Drosophila melanogaster: one gene and its partners. The protein of the gene in region 2 interacts with the protein of the main gene of each other region in a pairwise test. Each region holds a gene or a part of one and is shown on either strand. Other genes may lie near its edges. The genes, in order: CG1637, rtv, Vti1a and CG15012.

Region 1 (6,916 bases), 280 kb from region 2:
TAAGTAGGCGGCTATGGTCTCCACCTGGCGCATAAACTCGTCGCCGACCTCTCCGTTTTCCCAGTCCATGTCGTAGGCGAAGTCTCCCACATGGATGATGGCGTCGTACTGGCCGCTCTGCGTTTCACGCTGCAGCGCTGGAAGGGATGCCGCATTCACCACGCCCATATCGCCGTAGATCGCCAACGAGGGCGACCAGTCGGCGTGATCGAATCGCGTCCGAAACCAATAGGTGGCGGACCAGCCCAACTCACTGCCACAGTGGTAGAGATAGGTGCTATTCGGTTTCAGGTGGGACAGCGTCACCTGCATTCGGATGGGTTCATGGATTAGATGCCTTCGTTTGCGACTCTTGCTGCGTCGTTACTCACACGATGTATATACTGGGTGGCCTTTTTGGCTCCACCATCCACGAATTTCGTGGGCATTTGCGTCGCCTTCACTCGCTGATGCAGTCCATCGATGCCGAACTCACAGATTGATTCGTTGGTGTTGTCGCGCGTGTTCCAGGTGACGACAATGTCGAGCACGGTTTCTGCACAAGCACACTGATTAACTAGGAGCTTAACACTGAGCATGTCACATATTTACAACACTTGTCTACAAGATGAAGTCAACTATTAATGGATTCACTCACAAACCATTTGATTGATCGTTGAATTCTCAATTGAGTTGTTCCCAGTTTTATGATATTGAATTGTTTTATCCCAAAACAATAAGCACAATGAAAAGTTCAAGACATTTATTGTAAAGATACTAGGCATTTAAACAACAATCAGTGTACAATCGGATTGCCGTGACTATAATAAACCCGGTAATCGGATTTCATGTACTTATTGATAATAAAAACCGATCGGGTGCATATCCATTAGTCCTTTAACATTGATCCTAATAAGTATATCAAGTACATCCCATACACATTAAAAACAATTTGCTTAAGACAGCAGTTACCGAGTACCAGTTTTTGAACATCAAGTAACATGCGACAGAGATAAGAAACTAAGTTCATTTACGTTCTTATCAGCTTATGTTAAATGCACACTTAAAAGCGCTTGCATATGTGTAAATGCTGCGTTTGTTAAATTGGCTAAGTATAAAACTGTAGTTTGTTTCGGGCTGGGTTGAGATATTTGGATAAGGAATGTGCCACGCTTATTGCTATAGTTTGTGATCGAATCAGGTCGAGGCGAATGTGCGCTACTAATACTGCCTGTTGCTATTGATGCGTGTAATGCCTCGAGAGACTCCTTTAGCTTGAATTGATTCGGCTCAGGTTATGGTTCAGATTGGGAATGACTATTTAGTTTCGGTAGCTTCCATGCTTGGATTTCACCAACCAAAAGTCATCGATGATGGCGCCGTTCTTGTCGTCGGACACCTGCTCGAAATGGATATGTGTTCGATTGTGAGCCTTGAGCCGTGTGTAACCATAGTCCTGGCTGTGAAAAGCGCTCCATTCGGGTATTTTGCCCTTGAATGGTTCTCTTCCCTCCTTGCAGCCGGCGGATCCTGTGACGATGTGCACAGGGGCACTAGGATCATTGTACGGCGAATCCTTCAGCGTTCCATTGCGCACCTTGTAATCGTAAATGGGCCAGAGTCTCTCGTAGGAGTGCTCGTGCGCCCAAATGGCCACGTCCACGCCGAACTCGTAAAGCAGCGGCTCCAATCCGAACATGTGTACAAATGGCCAGCCCACCCGCGTGAGAGTCTCTGAGTGGGTGCAGTCATTGTCGTTCTCGTTGCTGCAGTACATGGGTCGATGACCGTACAAGATGATCCACGGACGCTTGTTCCGATTCTCTGGCAGATTGGCCTTGGCCAGATCCTCACGCAACCATTCGAACTGGAATACCAGCGGCTTTAAACCATAGTTGAGAAAGTAGTAGACCTCCGTGCTAATGCCCACGAAGTGCACGGGTCCCAGATCGAAGCTGTAGAACATGTTCTCCGTACCTCCCGGCATACTGAAGCGGGCACGATAGTTCGAGAAGTTGCTGCAACACCAACAATTAGATCCTGCTTCTACCAAAAAACACTCTACTCTCTGCTCTACTAGCTACTCACAACTTCTCCTCGTGATTGCCGGGAACCACCATGTATGGCAGGTAGGCAGCCACCGTTTCGATCTGCCGCATAAACTCATCCCCCACGCGAGCATTCTTCGTGTTCATGTCGTAGGCGAAGTCACCCACATGGATGATGGCATCGTACATGCCGCGCTGCGTCTCCTGCTGCAATCGGGCCAGGGATTGGGCATTCTCATTGCCCATATCCCCGTAGATAGCCAGCGATGGCGACCAGTCAACGGATGCCGAGGGCACTGTGCGAAACTGGAAGATGGCCGACCAGCCAAAATCGCTACCGCAATGGTAAGAGTATGTGGCATTTGGCTCCAGGTCCCTAAGCGTCACCTAAGCAAAGTAAACAATAAGTTTTTCTCTCTCTTTCTGGTACATCAACTGCGATGTCAAGGTGGATCGATTGATTGTTAAGAGATGGAGTGCAAGCAGTCCTGGCTCATTGGTTCTTAATTTGGTTCTAAGAGCCGGATTCAAGGTTGCATTCCTCTTACATTCTCACATCAATCTACTTGAATCGTTTGATCGGTTGCATACTCTATGCATACCCTGTGGATGAACTGCGTGGCCTGCTTGTGACCGCCGTCCACGAATTTAGTAGCCTTTCCCCGGGCCTGTTGGGTGAGCCTGACCTGTCCGTCTACCAGTTGACCGTACTCCACCACGCTGACCGCACCCACTTCCTGATCCGGCGGCAGGCTGCGCGTGGACCAAGTGACGACTATCTCGCTATCGGTGCGTTCTGCTTCAGAGGACAAGCGGATATCGAGAAACGGGGAAGAGTAAAAGAAAAACAAACTTGAGCAATTTCGTTGGTCCAATGTTGGTACGTTTCAAATGAAAGGAAAACAAACAATTAGCCCCCATCCGGCATCTAATATCATTTAGATTTGGCATTAATACTGATTACTAAACATGAAAATGTATAGATTTATAGTATAATATAAACAATGAACTCGAATTCCAGATTTGCCACGATAATGATTCGCATAATTAAAGTTGATTGAAACAAGTGCTACTTGGTTACTTTAATGAATAACTTCAATCCCATTAGCATCGCTTGTGCCAAATTGAATTTGAATCTGTAACGGGTGCAGGGTCGTCCAGTCATTCATGACCAAATGTTATTGTCCAATAAAACCCTGATATTTTTGCTTTGCAGCGACGCTCCATTGTTTGCTTCATCCTTATCGCCAACCCAACAGAAACTAGAAACTAGAACACAAAGCCAAATGGCCGGTGGGATGACGATCGACCGTATCGGCAAATATGAGGCCCCACAGGGAGCCAAAGTCTATCAATCTTTGGGTTGCATTTCAGGGTTTTGAAGTTTGCAATGCCCGCGTTGTCGTAGACAACAGTGGAACCCCAATATGGCGGAATAATGCTATTTTTTTTGGGGGGGAATCACCTGATTACAAAAAAGACTGGCCGAGCGGCTGACGTTTTTAATCTTGTTCAGTTTTTCGCCAATCGCACTACACAGCGATTAATTTTAGCATTGTGCACGAACACATTCACAGTGGCATACTTAAATTGTTTGTTAATGTTTTTGTGTTTGACCTGCCACCTCATCAGGCCTTAAATAAGCTTGAATTTATTGCTGCTTCCAAAAATTCGGAATTAGATGTTATCAGTTTTGGAGTTTTATGGGACTTTCGATTATTAATATAAAGCTATATTTATACAATATTTGGGGAAACCTTAGGTATTACCTTGTTGTAATTTGTAGGCTGTAACTAACGATCGTATAGATATTAACTACAATTAAATATAACTATGCATTGCGCCCGTTATTGTGGGTGCATTTGCATTTGTTCATCCCATTTATAGGGGCGACGACACTGATAATCATTTTATGTAGCAAATGATTCTGGGCGGGATTGGAAAGCAAGTATTGATATCACTCGATAAGTGCCTCTGGAATTGCGTACTATACGATCAATGTTTTTCAAAACCATATGTGATAATACACATAAAGGAAAATGTAAGTACAATGTAAGGTAATGTAAATAAAATAAACTTTCCTACGTGATAGATTTGTAATATTAGAAACTTATATGCCAAGCTATCATTTTTCTCCCAGTGTATTCTAACACTAATGCAACGCTGCAGGTGAGCAATTTACATAATGCGAAAAGTAAAGAAGATCGCACTCACCTCCAAAGGACAGATGCACTTGCTCCGGCTGATAGTGAACAATGTCGACGTCCTGGTCGATGGGAGTGCTCCTAATCCCCGGAAGAAGCAGCACCAGCAGGAGCAGCGACGCTAGCAGAGCGAATTGCAGTCTCTGCATTTTTACCGTTTTGTATTTACTTGTGTTTGTTGTTGCACAGTAACGCAGTCAGCAAAAACATTGCCAAATCACAATTGCGTCGTTGTCAAAGTGGGGACACTTGGCTCGGGGAGTCGTTGGAGTTAAACGGGGGAATCGACAAATTCGCTTGCGGGAACAACAAAAAATGAGCACTAATATGGAAATATCCAGCAATTTATAAGCGCAGCCACAACAAAAACAATCCGGGTGCAGTGTGACCTTGGCCGCCGAACAGCAAATGCCAGTGGTAACGATTGCACGCTGGCGACAACTATCGATAGAAAGCGATAAGTGAGCGCGCGATTTGAACTTGATACGTAAATAAATTACGTGAAAATGACAAATTTATCTAAAGCTGTTTGAATAAAAATGAAATAGCGTTTCAAATTCAAAACAGCTCAATTGGTTATTCTATTGTTAATACATTTCGACCAATTACTCAATTTCAATTAAATCAATCAATTAGAAATGTACGCATTATTGCAGAATATCTTTATTATATAACAGCATATGAAATGTTTTGGGGAATGAAGTCCCTCTAAGAGCTAAATGAAACTACACACAATTCGAGATCCTTTGTCGGTCCCAATTGAATGCTTGAAAACATGCGGATCGTTTTGTTCATATAAGCGCCTTCTTAGCAATAAACATAGAAGAATATATATATAGATATATAGATTAGGGTATATGGGTATAAATACAGGATAACAATAGAGAGAGAGAGATAGAGAGATAGTTTTAACAATACATACAACTAGGATAACTGGATATACGTATGTAAATAGGTTTAAGGATAACATTAGCATAACAACTAAGGACTTTTGGCAGCCTTATCGACTTTGTGGCATACATGCTGTGAAATTGGCAAAGCAATTCCGCTGGACGTGGAAATACATATGTATACGATACAGGTAATACATCTTTCGGACAAGGAAACCTAACTACTTCTCGGCGGGGGCACCACTCGATCCCGTGGCCGCTGCACTGGGCATGCTGCTCTTGCGCTGTGCTTGCGAGATCTGCACGATCCTCGAGAGCGGCGAGTGGGTGCTGCTGGTGCTGGGTCTCGTTCCGGCGGGCAAGGGCAGCAGCCGTTGAGCGGACGTTCCGCCAGACTCGTCGATGGCCCCCGCTGGCAAGGCGCTTCCACTTCCTCCGGGCGGCGACGTGGGCGACAGTTCGCGGGCCAGTGGCGAGGGTCGCAGCGAGAGGCGTCGCTGGAGCGCCGTCTGTGAGGACTGCTCCATCAAACTGGCACCTGGTGGCGGCGCCTGTCCCGGTGGAATTTGCAGAGCAGTCGGTCGCACGCTAAAGCGACGACGGAATTTGCTCTGAACAGTTGGCGCATTCGATGGACCGGCTGTTATTTGGCTTTGATTTGCGGCTCTCTCAGTGTAACTGGGTGGCGGTTCCAGCAGGGATCTGGCTGCCGGTGCGGTGGCTGCTCCACCAGTGGGCGATATGCCAACAATAGTGGAGCGACGCGCGTACAGCCGATTGGCAGCCGCCGCCTGCAGTGTCCTCGTTTGATCGCCAGCGAAGAGCGACAGGATCGGCGGCAGCTGCGGTGGCTCCAGTCCAGCATTGCCCATCTTGCGCTGTTTGCGGCTACCCCTCGATATTCCGCCTCCACCGGCAGCTCCTCCAGCCGCTGCCGCCTGTTGCTGTTCATCAAGCACGGCATGGGTGTGCACTACCTCGAGCGCACGAATCAGATCCGCAATGGTCGTCTGCTCCAGCACATTCATATCCTTTTCGGAGGTAACCGAGAATATGCTGCTACGGCGCGGAGCAGAGGTCAGCGATGATGCCGATGCTGTAGCTGGGAAGAGGCTGCCACGACGCGCGGCCACTGCCGCCATGGCCGCCGATCCAGAGCCACTGGTTGCCAAGCTGCCGCGTCGCATCTGCATCTGGGCCAAGGCGTGCGCGGTCGGCGGATACATGCTGCCCCGGCGAGCGGATGGGGCTTGATTCTGGGTGTAGATGCTCTCGCGTCGGCGCTTGCCAGCAGCCGCCTTGCGTTGATAGGCTCCACCGCCCAATGCCGATGGCGGGGTTGCTCCATCCTCCATCTGGAAGCCCATGTTCGTTAGCCCGCCGCCGCCGCTGGCCAAGCTGCCATTCGATTCGAAGGGCGGTGGCGGACCGCGTCCGTTGCGCAAATAGGATTGACTGGAGGCCGCCGTGACCGTGTTGCTGTAGTAGTCCAGCGGGGATCTGGCTTGCTGCGAGATGACACCCTCGGGTACCGAGACCACGGACAACTTGCGCTCCAGATCCTGCGAGGGGCGCTTCTTCTGGAAGGGAAACAGACGTCGCAGACCATCCGGCATGGAGAACTTCTTGACGCGACCGGCACCCGGTGATTGTTTCTTCAGCTGCTCCTCCAAAGCATCCGGCTCCAGATGGACCATGGTCGAGTTGGCTGCTCCGTTGGCACGCTGCTGTCCCTTGTAGCGCTGGTTGAATGCCTCCTGGATCTGCTGGTTGTCGCCGCTCCATGTCCATTCGT
Region 2 (4,247 bases):
AAACTTTCACGTTGTGGCCCAGAGTCGCAAGAACTTGCAGCAGGCATTGAGAAGGGCCAGAAAGACGAAGCAGCAGCCACGTTTGTTCGACGACGAGGAGGACCTGGAGATCACCAGTTTGCAGAACGATCGCAACAAGAACAGAACCAGCGATGGCAAGGGGACACCGCCATCGCTGGAGCCAACGAATGCTGCCGCCAATCAGGCAGCCAAGAAGACCATCCCACAAATGTCTAGTCAGGGGATGGCGAAGAATAATACCGCGAAGAGCAAAAACACGTGCAGGAAATCCTCGCCAACGCCCACATCCAGTGGACAGTCGCAGCCAGCGGTATCGTCATCCGGCAGCTCCGATGATTCCAGTGCCGAGCTGCAGCAGGAGCAGCAAAGACGCGTCGCATCCGCCGCCCAGTGGCGCGATGAGCCGCGCGAGAGCCGCACCCAGCCGGAGGAGTACGGCCAGGAGACGTTCCTCGGCCTCTTTGAGCTCTACTCGCCGGAGGTGCTCAAGAAGCTCAGTCAGCGCCACTCGAAGCGCAAGCGTCGCACCGTTCAGAATGCCAGCGGAGTGGATTTTCACTATGGCCAGCAGTTGAATGCCGTGGACGCGTTAGTCATGGGCGTTCGTGGTCAGAAGAAGACCAAGGAGAAGTCCGAATTCCTGCTCTCGCCGACGGAAAAACGTTTGCAGGCCAACTCGAAGAGGACGTACACACGCAAGAGCAAGTCGCCGGACGAGATTTCGGAGAAGAGCAGCGCAGGAGGAGGATCTGGCGCATCGGGAACTGCGTCTTCATCAGCCTGTCAGCATAAAGACGGCGGTGCCTCCAAGTGCCGCAAATGCCGCGAGTGCCGTGAATGCAAACGTCGTGTGGGTGAGTCATCCACCAACCACAAACTTGTTGAGTTGGTTTTCTTAAATTCGTATTACCCATTTAATGATTTTATTAATATTTTATTGTTTTGCTTGTTTTTTTTTTCCCAGAAACCGAAGCGATGTACTGCCACTTGTGCAGCGGATTATACCACATGGACTGCCACGAGTTCACCAAAAATCGCCAGCTGATGCAGCTGCAGAACTCTCGCTGCCCCCCATGCTTGCGCGAAAAAGATAAGTTGGAGAAGTAGTGCGTTGCCAAGTGAGCCATTGATGTTAAATGTTTCTCATTCTTGCATAAAGGATTGTATATATTTGAATCAACCCTAGTTGGTATGCTGAGTTCGTGTTTTTATATTAAAATTTATTATTACTTAAATGATTATATGATTATATAAATGATTATTATATTCTTATTTTATAAATATACTAATTAAAACGAATGGATATTCTATTTGCAAACAAAGAGAATGGTGTTACGCAGCAGGAGTGATTTAATTAGGTATATGAATAATATTCATATTGTTTCTTTTTCGCAAACAATCGAGTCTGTTCCACTGATAGCTGATTGACCCGAAGTCGGGATCTATGCCATATATAGCCATAATCAATGGTTACATATTGAATGTAAGTACCTTATTTGCGATCGGAAAAATGATACGAAAAAATGCACGAGTAAACGGCAATAAAATCTTAAGCAGAGCAAGAACATTCGATTTTAAGTAATAACAAAAAATTGTTTGTATTTATCGAACTGTTGATATTACATTGAGTGTTGCTGAGTATTGGAAGATGTATATACACATTGCCGGCTAAGAGCACAGAAAGCAAACAGTCTAGTTTCGCATCCGCTGGAGCAGCCAGGAGCCGAGCAGCGGCAGCATGGTGATGAGGATCATCTGGGGTGCACTGGACCAGCTCCTCGCGCCGTTGCACAGGTCGCCCTGGCAGAAGCACATGTACACCTTCTTATAGTTGTAGATGGTGTCCGCACAGCGATCCATGTTGTCGTCCGGACCGCGCTGCACGCACATCCGCTGGATGGCCAGGTCGTAGTCGTCGATGGCATAGGTGCCGCCGCCCTCGATCACCTTGCCGCACCAGCCGCTGGCGCACGGGATGGCCGCCACTCCCGGTTCCTGCTCCACGTCCGTTGCATTGAAGGTGAAGGGGTCCTTGCAGCTGCCCAGTTCGCCACGGGATCGGCACTGATAGCAGCGGCGCAGAAGGCCTACAATTGAAAGTTCAAATATTTAAAATTTAAAACATGGTTTTACTGAGCGTTTAAATCTAAAAGTGAATTAAAAATGAAAATTTTAAATAATATGCAAATGGAACAATTAAGCAAATAACAATACAACGGAAAAAGTTAGTTTTTAATTTGATTTCGCCGTTTTCCCCATGTGAAAATCGAATTATATCTCTCTCACACACACACAACACATATGCAACTTAAACAAAAGACTTCAACGAGAACACGAACTCACCATCGATTGAAACCAGACTTATGAGAAAAATCACAGCCAGTAAAAGGCTCGTAAATTGCATGGTCCCGTCTTCTTATTTCGCCTACTAACTAGTCAATAATGATAATAATGAATAATAGTAAATATATGTAAATGTTAAGTCAAGGAAGTTTAATCGTGAATTAGTGTTACCAGGCGCTGGAATTCCAGCGAATCCAAAAGGTAAAAAGCTCTGCAAAAATAAATAAATACGTTATTTAATATAAATATATGTATATACATATATACAAAAATTACAATTTTATCAACGATTAATTATTTCAAAAATATATTCCAAAATAATGCTAGCTAGATTAATTTATCGATAGTATCGATACTATTGCATGCTTGCATAAGTAAATGCTAGAATTTTAGTAGATACCAGAAATAGTAGCTTTGCCACAGCGCCATCTGCTGGAAATGCGATCAAAGTTCACAATGAGATTAAAGCGACATCTATGAGCAGCGTCAAATCGTTATTGGAATATTTACTTTTTAATTATTAGTTACTCGTTATTCGAAGTAATTTAACGGGTATCTGATAGTCAGTACCTCCACTAAAGCGTTCCCTCTTGCTATCATTTTACCAGCCATATAAATAAATAAACGCCGGGAGAAAAGTACAAAAAGAAATACAGAATAGTTACAAAAGTGATTGTTGTGGGAACGGTATTTCCCGCACCTGCTAGTGCCAAGTGTGACCATACCCGGGTCACCATTTGGTATCGGTATTTTTTGCAGTATTTTTACACGAATAATTGGTGCGAAAGGAAAAGCAAAGCAAAGCAGAAGTGAAGAAGAAGAGCAGTGAAGAGGAGAGGCAGTCAGATTCGACGACGCAACGGCGCTGAAAAAACTCCAGTGGAAACGCACACGAACGCGGCTCTTCTCCACATAAATATACATTATATTATTTAAGTTTGCCTTGTCTAATTGAAACGATCGAAAGGCTGTCCAGCGGAGAGGACGTGCGTGAAAATCCAGGGCGCGAGTTTTCACTGGAGAGGAGAGCGAAGAGCGTGAGAAACTGCGTACGTAGGAAACGGAATAAAAAAAGTGGGCAATCAGAAAGGAGGAAAGAAAGAAAATAGAGTGAGCGAGAGAGATAGATTGAGTAGAAGAGGAAATTTTGCGAATTTGTCAGCAGCTGTGCGTCGTAACTAAAGCAACAGAATTGGAAGTGAGAGTGGGTGGGAGAGAGAGCGTGGTGACAAATGCATAGAGAATTAAACAAAAATAATACAAGTGCGCAGCCTTGCAGTAAAATTATTTAAATAGACTGCTAAATCATATGCAGCCGACACCTGGCAGCCGTCTCGCTCTGTCGCGCATGTGTTTGTTTTTGTTTGCCAACTGTTTCTCATCTTCCCTCTCTTCCACTCTCCCTCTCTCTCTTTAGCACTCTCTGTTGCAGCGCCAGCACATCCCGTTTCCCAATTGGACCCAGCCAGGAGTGGAGAGCGTTCCAATAGGAGCACCGCAGCTGCAGCACCAACAACAACATGGCGATGAACAGTGGGACGCAAACGAATGCGCTGACATCATCCTTTACCATGAAGAAAAAGGATGCGGCCGCGGAAAAGGAGAACCTATGGTGAGTGCAATTGCAGTAGTAGCGACTACTTCAGCAAGTAAACCTCCCAAAAAGGGAACACAACCCCAATTGACATATGCGTAATCCCCCAAAATGCAAGCACCAAGATAACTCAAGATATAAGATCAGTTACCAAAAAAACAGAAACTATAGAACAAATAAGTAGGTAGGTAGTTCGAGGTGGAAAAATATGAAATTTGAACCATTATTGTAATAATACTTAACTTTCAGAGCATGTAACTCTGTACATTACAATATGATATCGACAAAT
Region 3 (4,415 bases), on a different chromosome or scaffold from region 2:
CTGATAAGACCATTTGAATTCGAATAACTCGAATTATCGGTTATCGATAGCGTTCAAATGGCTGGCAACTCTGCGATGTTGGCTGTTTTTGCACAAACAGCTGTTGTCGCACTGTTGTTGTCGCCTTTGTGTCTGCAGGTGCAAAATAATATATTAATTGGATTAACTTGGGATTAATCGAGCGATCACAGCCATGGCCACGATGCGCATACCCAAACAAAAGGTGATCCTGTGCGGCGACTACGGAGTGGGCAAGAGCTCCCTGTTCCGGCGCTTCGCCACCAACACCTTCATCACGGATACGGACAGGAAATCCACGTTGGGACTGGACCACATCGATAGGGAATACAGTGTGAATGAAAAGCAGATCAAGGTGGGCTCGGGAACCTCTAAAAGGGCGTGATGGCTGAGATATGAATCCTTAAGCTCTTTAGTTCGATTTCTAGACGAAAGCCACAGTTCTTCAGACTTACAACTTATTGCGTTGTGAGACACTTATGTATATACCGTCTTCTTTGACAGCTCCAACTCTGGGACACCGGTGGCATGGAGCGTGTGGCCTCGGTCACATCCTCGTACTACAAGTTCGCCGAGGGAGCCATCCTGGTCTTTGCTTTGGACAACGCCGCTTCGTTCCACTCGCTGTCGCAGCACTTGCTGGACATTGTGACCTATGCAGAGAATGCCAAGATCTTCATCTGTGGCAATAAGAGCGATCTGGATGGCAGGGAGCCGGAGGTCAGCGATGAGGAAGTGGAGGCCTTCTGCGAGCAGTGCCACTCACTGATCAGTGCCACGTACAAGACCTCCTGTCGCAGCGGCGCCGGTGTGGAGGAGATGTTCCGTGACATCTCTAGGCAACTGGTCCACGCCAATCGCTCCAAAATGGAACTGCAGGCACTGGAGCACAAGAGCTTCCAGGTGGACACTGCGAGCAGCGGCGCGGCGACCAACGAGGAGGACGCCTCCTCCTGCGGCTGCTAGCAGTTGGGGAACATTGAGTTCGGCTAGGAACCCTTATTCCCGCCAGGCTCAATGCTCACGCAGAGATGCATTTTTACTGTTTCCTTTATTTATTGATAGCTTTCGGCTATGTTATGATTTTTAGATACGTACATGTTCAATTCGAATTTTTACGAAAAATACGTCCCGAACGCGAACACGAGTCATAGAGTAGGATTAGTTTCTATTAACCAGGCGCCAAACATTAACCACTTAAACTTTGTACACGTAAGCTAGGATGGCGGATACGCGAGTGATAGGTTAGAAATCTGCGGTAAGAATTAAAAAGTAATAGGAATTCCATCGATTAACAAGAAGGTCAATTTAATCTTAAAGGTAAAAGGACAACAAAATATATAGACATCGATTGACCGCAGATAACTACTCTAAGCTTCGACTCTTATTGCACGTAATACTCCATCCTATCTTATATAGATTAGTGCGTAATCTGCAGCTTTCTTCCACAGAATATCTCGTAAAAATAAAATATACTAAACAATAAATAATCAACTCACGAAATTGGAATGGACAGGCTTCTATAACATTTGAATTTGGGCTAAGATCATTGGCTATTGGTTTGCTAGCTAAAATTACTACGACGAGGCGGTGCTGCTTGAACTGGGTGCGAAGGTCAGATAGAGACTGACGCCCACGGCCACCACAAAGCAGACACCCACTCCATACAAGACCACCTTCTCCCGCAGGGCTCTTAACATCATGGTATTCAGAGTGCGAGAAGCTCTTCCCAGCTCGGCATTGGTTTCTCGAAGTCGAGCCCTGGCTCCCTGTAGAGTTTCCCTTTGGTGGTGCAGATCATTTAGGACCTGGGCGCCCAGTTGCTCCGTCTCCAAGGCCACTCTGTACCCTTCGGTTAACCTGTTGCCCGTCCGTTCAATCCTTTCCGAGTTGTCCAAGAGGCGTTGGCGTTGATCTGTACTTATGGACACATCCTCATAGCTGTCACCCAAGTCCAGAGTGGTGAATGTGTTGGCTTGGGAGCGCTGTTTGTCCTTGGTCAACCTGTACTCCGCCTGCAGCCGTTTCAGTTCTGCCTGGGCCACCTGCAGCTTTCCGTTGAAGCTGCTCCGCAGTCCAGGATTTAGCTCCCTCACCTCCAGACCCATCTGCTCCAGCAATTCCTGAGCCTCGGGCAAACTGGAGTCGATCTTGCTGCACAAATCATGGCGCTCGCCTGGAGTAAATGGACAAATGGTAATCACCATAATGTACAATCCATGGACAATCATCCCACTCACTGTTGTTGTTTTGCTGCTGCAGCCGTCCAATATGGGCCGTTATTTCTGCTATTAACGTGGCGTATTGCTGTTCGTATTGCTCCAGAAGCGACATTTGTGCGGTTTTTATTCTACCTTATTCAGTTGTTTATGGTATTTGTTCTGTTTTAGTTCGCGAAAATTACAGATTTATCGAAGAAAAGAAGTAAACATTGTCCAAGTGTGGCCGAGTCATGAGGTGAACAGTAATACAGCAATCTATAAATACTTTTAAGTCGTGGTCACTCTGATTTCGAGTCAGCGTTGCCATACTCATGTAAAAAACACTGCCAACTTCAAGGACTACAATATTCTCGTAAGAACTCAGATAAAACCAACTTCCGTTTTAAATACGTAAATAAAACACAAACATATCTATTATTTTATAAATTCCATTTTATTGTACTTAGAGTAATTAATAAATTAATTAATTAGGTTCAGCTTTATGCGAGTGGAGATTCTTTGTTAACCTAAGCAACTGTTTTGGCGGTAGTACGATTTAATAATACTACATGATACATATGTACACTGTTCATCACATTTATGTTTTGTGCTGTCCTGGTCCGCGATTAGAAAACTCTTAACCCTCGACCAGTGTGGCCTTGTCCCCTTTTCGGAGCACCAGTTCCAATTGGGACAGCAAGCCAATAGCCCGAAAGTTCTCCTTGAAGAGCACGAAGTCCTCCAGCGGTTTTAGGTACTCCAAGGCCTGGTGGTAGCTTTCCAACTCCTTCAGCATGCATAAAGCCTTCTTATCCTCGGGGTCTGGGGATGTGTGTCCATTGGTTTGGCTGCCGGAGGAGCTGGATCCATTGGGGATCTTTTTTGGCGAGGCGGGAGCAGAGGCGGGTTTGGTGGACGCAGCTCGAGCTGGTGCAGGTGAGTCCTTTCCCTTGGAAGAAAGGGCAGGCGTGGATTTGCCACTTGTTCCGCCTCCCTTGGGGGCGTTCTCCTTGCTGCTGGCACTGTCTCTTCCCCCGCTATTATTGTTGTTCTGCTCGTTGGGACTGGAACTTCGACTGTGCTTGCTGGTTAAGGTTGATTCTGCTAGCGGATATGGTGGTGAGTTCACCGCTGAGTTAATCTCTTGCACTTCGTCATCATCGGGTGACTCCATTTTGGGTCTCTTGGCCAACTGAACGGGCTGGAAGGGACTGGCCCGCTGCGGTGGAACATTTGGCGGCAATTGGGGCTGAAAGGGTTCCCTTTGAGGTGGCATAGTGGGTGGAAACTGTTGCATCTGCTGCTGCTGCTGGAGTTGCTGTTGCATTTGCTGTTGATGCCGCTCGAAATAAAAGTCGTTGAAGCTGGCGAACCCGGGGTGTGGAGTAGGATGTCCGGGATGTCCTGGAAACGGTGGCCATGGGTGGCCCATTTGATGCTGCTGCTGTTGCATATGTTGCTGCTGGAGGGCAAAGTGCTGCTGTTGCTGCTGCTGTTGCTCTTGATAGCTCTGCTCCTTTACATCCATACTGTCATCATCTTCTTCGTATTCTCCGTACTGTTGCATGTAGGTCATGTACTGCTCGGGCATCTCCTCCAGTTTGGCCACTCTTTCAGCGCTCGCGGGCGGAAAGAGATGGGCTAGGTCCTGTACGATGTCCGGGATCCACAGGGAGGATCCTAGTGGCTTCAACTGGTTGCTGGCTAGTTTTTGGGCAAAGCCTTGAAGATGAGTCTCTCGGAAACGGTTTAACCAGCGATTGTCTGCTATAAAGGATGTGCTCCCTATGACTTGTCTGGCATTCTCCGCCTTGTCCTTGATCATTCCGTGGGTAATGCTACCTCGCAGCTGGGGATTGATATTGGCCCTTACTAGCCATTCGTATACCACTGCATTGATGTAGGCGCACTTTCGGCTCCTCTCGATCTCCTCCACCATGGCCTGCTGCTCAACGGCCTCCAGGTTGGAGGGAACTTCCAGACGCAGGGTGGGCAGCGCATTCGACTGCAGTCGCCTGCCACCCAAGACACTGGGGTCAAAGTGCAGGGCACATACCACTGGCTTTTTGAAGGGCACAATTCGTCTTAGGGAGGCGTGGCACGCCTCCTTCCACAGCTTGTGGAAGGGGTTCTCCGGCCGGGGAAACGCAAAGAACTGCATACTCGGGTGCTGACGCGAATTGGACAAGCATCCGA
Region 4 (4,246 bases), on a different chromosome or scaffold from region 2:
TGAAGAAACAGGGTTGGGGCCTGGAGACCGCCGACTTTATGCGCTTGTGGGGACACTTCCAGACGGAGGCTCTTGGTCGCGTGGACAAGGTGGCCAATGGTACGCACACGCCCATCATTCTGTGGACTAGTGGACTCACTGAGGAGCCCTTCATTGACGAGTATCTGAACCCAGAGCGTTACATCATTCAGATCTGGACCACTGGTGTAGATCCGAAGGTAAAGAAGATTCTGGAGCGGGGCTACAAGATCATTGTGTCCAACTACGATGCCCTGTACTTGGATTGCGGCGGAGCTGGCTGGGTGACCGATGGAAACAACTGGTGCTCCCCCTACATTGGCTGGCAGAAGGTGTACGACAATAGTTTGAAATCCATTGCCGGCGACTACGAGCATCATGTATTGGGCGCGGAGGGAGCCATTTGGTCAGAGCAGATCGACGAGCACACACTGGACAACCGCTTCTGGCCCAGGGCCAGTGCCCTGGCCGAACGACTTTGGTCAAATCCTGCCGAAGGTTGGCGCCAGGCGGAGTCACGTCTGCTGCTCCACCGCCAGCGACTGGTGGACAATGGTCTGGGCGCAGAGGCCATGCAGCCGCAGTGGTGCCTGCAAAACGAGCACGAGTGTCCCATTGACGCGTACGATGCACAAGTTTGACCAGCTATTAAACCATTTCTCTTAACGGTCGCTATCCTTGTAGATGTAGTCGGGGCAGCGGGCGGCTTGGGTTGATCGTCCTGTTGCTTCTCACAACGCTCTCTGCCTGAAAATAAAGTACAGCTCAAAGGTGGCCTTACGCAAGTGACTTGTCGTTTATTTTGTTAAATATAAATGAGATTATTGGCCCTGCTCTGCGCCCTTTTCCGATTCAAAGCGGCAGAATGTCGGAAATAGTGAGGGAAATCCGTACAGACTCGACGATTTTTTCGAATATGAACAGTAGCAGAGTTGGACATTTTACGCTTCAATGTGTGGGGTGAGGATTTGCGAGTGATGGTGTCCTCGGCCTCAAGCATAAACTCCTTGGACTCCTGATTATGTACGTAATGAGTCTAGATACTAAAAGCTGCGTTCCCTTGTGCAATAATTTGAATGGAAGCTTTACTCATTCCACTCTTCCTCGTTGCGTCCAAACTTGTAGACCAAACTGGCGAACAGGATGAAGACGTTTTGCATCAGCAGAGCCACGCCAAACCAGCCATCCTTCTTTTCTGAAAAACGATAAGTGGGTGCAATTCAGCTAAGGAATCCTTAAATATCTGTTTATTTCTCACCATTGTTGATGAAGTCGTCGATCATCACCCAGATGGCGGCAATGATGGAGGCAAAACCCATTAGGAAGCCCACAAGCAGCCAGATCTTCGCTATCCTGGCGCCGGACTCCGATGAGTTCTCATCAGAAATCTGCGCACAAACAAAAGAAGTGAGTCACTTGTTAAGCCCAATGATAAGTGTGTGTTACATGTTCTCCCTTCACTGCGTTCACCATGCAGAAGCTGATGGTCCCGAAGATGCCGATGAAGACGTGTCCTGTGGTAATCTGGTGCTTGCCGTCGATGGACATGGCATCGATTAGAACCCACCATCCTGCGAAAAACTAAGGAGAAAAAGTTGCACTGTCAGGCGGGCGGCTCTTTGTTTGCGGGTGTTAGCCTACCAGAAGTCCGGCTATTATGGAGGTGTTCCTGTTCCTGGACGCATCCCCCGTGAAATGCAACGCAATATTGTCCAACACGCCCATTGTTTAGGTTTTAAAACGTAATTAAATTTATTCCACTCTTAAATCTTCTTGTTTTGACGCACAGGGTTGTCTGTCTGCAGGTGAATACAGGGTTTCTTCACTCGCTGTAGCAACCCTGTTTCAGTATTTAGTGTGTTCACACCTGAACTGCAGCAGTAACATATACTTTTTGTGTAACACAAATTAACTCCGTTATAAAAAGAAAGTTGCTGTTAATTAAATATTTTGTGCAATAATTTGTGCAAACATTTAAATGTTTAACTTTAAAATTACTGCTTATGCAGTTTGTTGTTGTTTTTTAGTACGTTAAAGGCACGACGTCTTTTTCAGAAAGTCCAATACGGTCACACACAACTTCACGTTTAACAAAATTTAATTGATTTCCTTATTATTTAACAACCGATCGCAGCGACACGAGTGGGTGCGTGTTGTCAGTTATAGTAAGAGATTGCAAAGGAATCCTAACCAGAATGCTAGTCATAAACTCATGCAGAGCTGCCTCCAGATTGGCGCTACGCAGCCTCAATTTGCGATCGCCGATCGCAACGCGTACTTTCTCGACGGGATTGGCCCTGAAAACGAAAGATGTGTGAGTATCTTCTCCACCCCACGAGCACTACAATGGTAGCTCCACACCGCCAGAGCAGCGTAAACATTGACCAATCTCGCTATTGCAGTGTTAACATAACCTTCGTGCGTGCCAATGGGGACAAGATTAAGACGTCCGGAAAAGTGGGTGACTCCCTGCTGGACGTGGTGGTCAACAACAATGTGGATCTGGATGGTTTCGGGGCCTGTGAGGGCACGCTGACCTGCTCCACCTGCCACCTGATCTTCAAGACCAGCGATTTCGAGAAACTGCCCGACAAACCCGGTGATGAGGAGCTGGACATGCTGGATTTGGCGTACGAACTGACGGACACCTCGCGGCTGGGCTGCCAGATCACCCTGTCCAAGGATATGGAGGGCCTGGAGGTACATGTGCCCTCCACCATCAATGACGCACGTGCCGCGTAGATAGACACCACCACTGTTATCAATTGTTACAAATTTGAGTGCTAATTCGCTTTAGTTCAACCTAGATGTAGTCAATATTTTTGAACGAAATCGTATGTATTGTCCCAGGGACACAAACCTCAGGCGGCTATAATGGATGCGCGCATTAATCCGATTCCAGTTGCGGATTAGCGTCCGCTGTTGTTTTTAAAGTGTTTAAGCTCAAAGGGATTAGATCAATATGTAAATAAGTGTGTTGCAATAAATTTACATGTATTTTCGTACTTCTCTTGGTTTTATTGAAACTGTGGAGGAAAGCATCCAGCGTAGATATCATTTTTAACCAATAATTCATTTGCCTTTTTAATTCTATTGGCAAAACTAGCCGATTTTAAATCGGTCATTCTTGTTTTTTAAATATCTCAGCTAAAAAGTGTTTTTCTGCGTGTATTCATGATCTCGAAGTTGTGCTCGGCAAATAAACAGGCACACGCAAAGATTTTCCTCGGCATCATAGTTCTAATAAAAGTGTGTAGTATACTTTTGAACACAGGTTTATGATCATTAGTTAGCAAATTCAAGATGATCGTATTTTATATTCCTATTTGCCTCGCTTGTATGACAATGCGAACCATATTATTCTTTATTCTATTCATTCGTTTTGCCAAACTTGTTTTGTTTATACCAAAACTTCCAGTCACGGCCAACACAAGGGCTGTTATCAAAGCCCCCCACACAAACATTTCATCACACTGATAAAGTTTGCATTAGCTTTGTTTGCGTTTCCTTATCAGTCGTTCCCAAGCTCCGATAATCAGAGGTACTATTAGAACGCATTAAAACACTTGTCGCTTAATAAAAGTAAACTTTTTATTATTTCGCAGCTATCAAATAAAGTAATAAATAAATAATTTAATATATACATTTGCTATATTAACTTATTGTAAACGATTTTCTGCCTTTCCATGTTTGCCGCTTCATTACTTCGTTTGTGTTTATTTTCTCGATATTATTAACTTGCATATTGTAACATTCGAGGCTAATCTGTTCGTTCAGATGGCCTCAAATCCCGCGTAGGTATAACTGAAACTTAACAAGTCTGACAATTCAATTTCGCTTTGCCTAAAACTAGGGAAACATATGAAGGATAGAGCGTAGTGGTAAAGTAGGAAACCATTTGAAAGTGGCGGATTGTGGGATCTCAATAAATAACCAAAGAATAAATAGTTATGGGATGGGGGGTGCCTATGGGGAATGGGTTTGGAATGAGTGTTTCTGAAGTGCACATAAAACTGATTTGGTTTTCTGTTCACGCCGATCGGTCGCTGTTGATGGTGATGATGGTCCGGTCCTCTGGCCCGATTTCAGATCCTTAGTTCACATAGGCCATGCCCGCTCCCTTGCGATCGAAGTGACGCACGCGGACGAAGAGGAAGGCGGCGACTAGAGAGGCGACGGCCAGGACGAGCAGCAGCATCACCAATCCGCCCACAAAGCTGGGCACCGA

Evidence for each region.
Region 1: the proteins of rtv (region 2) and CG1637 interact in a two-hybrid assay, tested with the Drosophila melanogaster proteins (one large-scale study listed by BioGRID).
Region 3: the proteins of rtv (region 2) and Vti1a interact in a two-hybrid assay, tested with the Drosophila melanogaster proteins (one large-scale study listed by BioGRID).
Region 4: the proteins of rtv (region 2) and CG15012 interact in a two-hybrid assay, tested with the Drosophila melanogaster proteins (one large-scale study listed by BioGRID).

The regions. Positions count from the first base shown.
Region 1 is NC_004354.4:10,873,174-10,880,089, forward strand, and holds CG1637 (uncharacterized protein), read right to left. Parts: upstream 4,626-6,916; 5' UTR 4,381-4,625; coding exon 4,242-4,380; intron 2,827-4,241; coding exon 2,630-2,826; intron 2,415-2,629; coding exon 2,068-2,414; intron 1,998-2,067; coding exon 1,301-1,997; 3' UTR 727-1,300; downstream 1-726. Other genes in the region: Ork1 (open rectifier K[+] channel 1), read right to left, coding at 5,343-6,916.
Region 2 is NC_004354.4:11,151,253-11,155,499, forward strand, and holds rtv (retroactive), read right to left. Parts: upstream 2,739-4,247; 5' UTR 2,641-2,738; intron 2,576-2,640; 5' UTR 2,426-2,575; coding exon 2,365-2,425; intron 2,323-2,364; exon of another isoform or gene 2,236-2,322; intron 2,109-2,235; coding exon 1,714-2,108; 3' UTR 1,232-1,713; downstream 1-1,231. Other genes in the region: Lint-1 (l(3)mbt interacting protein 1), read left to right, coding at 1-875, 986-1,128; Dlic (dynein light intermediate chain), read left to right, coding at 3,885-3,976. UniProt on the Drosophila melanogaster protein: Required for chitin fiber assembly and organization involved in cuticle formation and tracheal development.
Region 3 is NT_037436.4:690,427-694,841, forward strand, and holds Vti1a (vesicle transport through interaction with t-SNAREs 1a), read right to left. Parts: upstream 2,494-4,415; 5' UTR 2,353-2,493; coding exon 2,259-2,352; intron 2,195-2,258; coding exon 1,596-2,194; 3' UTR 1,060-1,595; downstream 1-1,059. Other genes in the region: RabX6, read left to right, coding at 194-373, 523-984; CG13894 (uncharacterized protein), read right to left, coding at 2,857-4,415.
Region 4 is NT_037436.4:4,290,411-4,294,656, forward strand, and holds CG15012 (uncharacterized protein), read right to left. Parts: upstream 1,837-4,246; 5' UTR 1,744-1,836; coding exon 1,660-1,743; intron 1,600-1,659; coding exon 1,465-1,599; intron 1,407-1,464; coding exon 1,277-1,406; intron 1,214-1,276; coding exon 1,104-1,213; 3' UTR 798-1,103; downstream 1-797. Other genes in the region: Hexo1 (hexosaminidase 1), read left to right, coding at 1-640, 703-769; Fdx2 (ferredoxin 2), read left to right, coding at 2,214-2,332, 2,421-2,760; dyl (dusky-like), read right to left, coding at 4,112-4,246.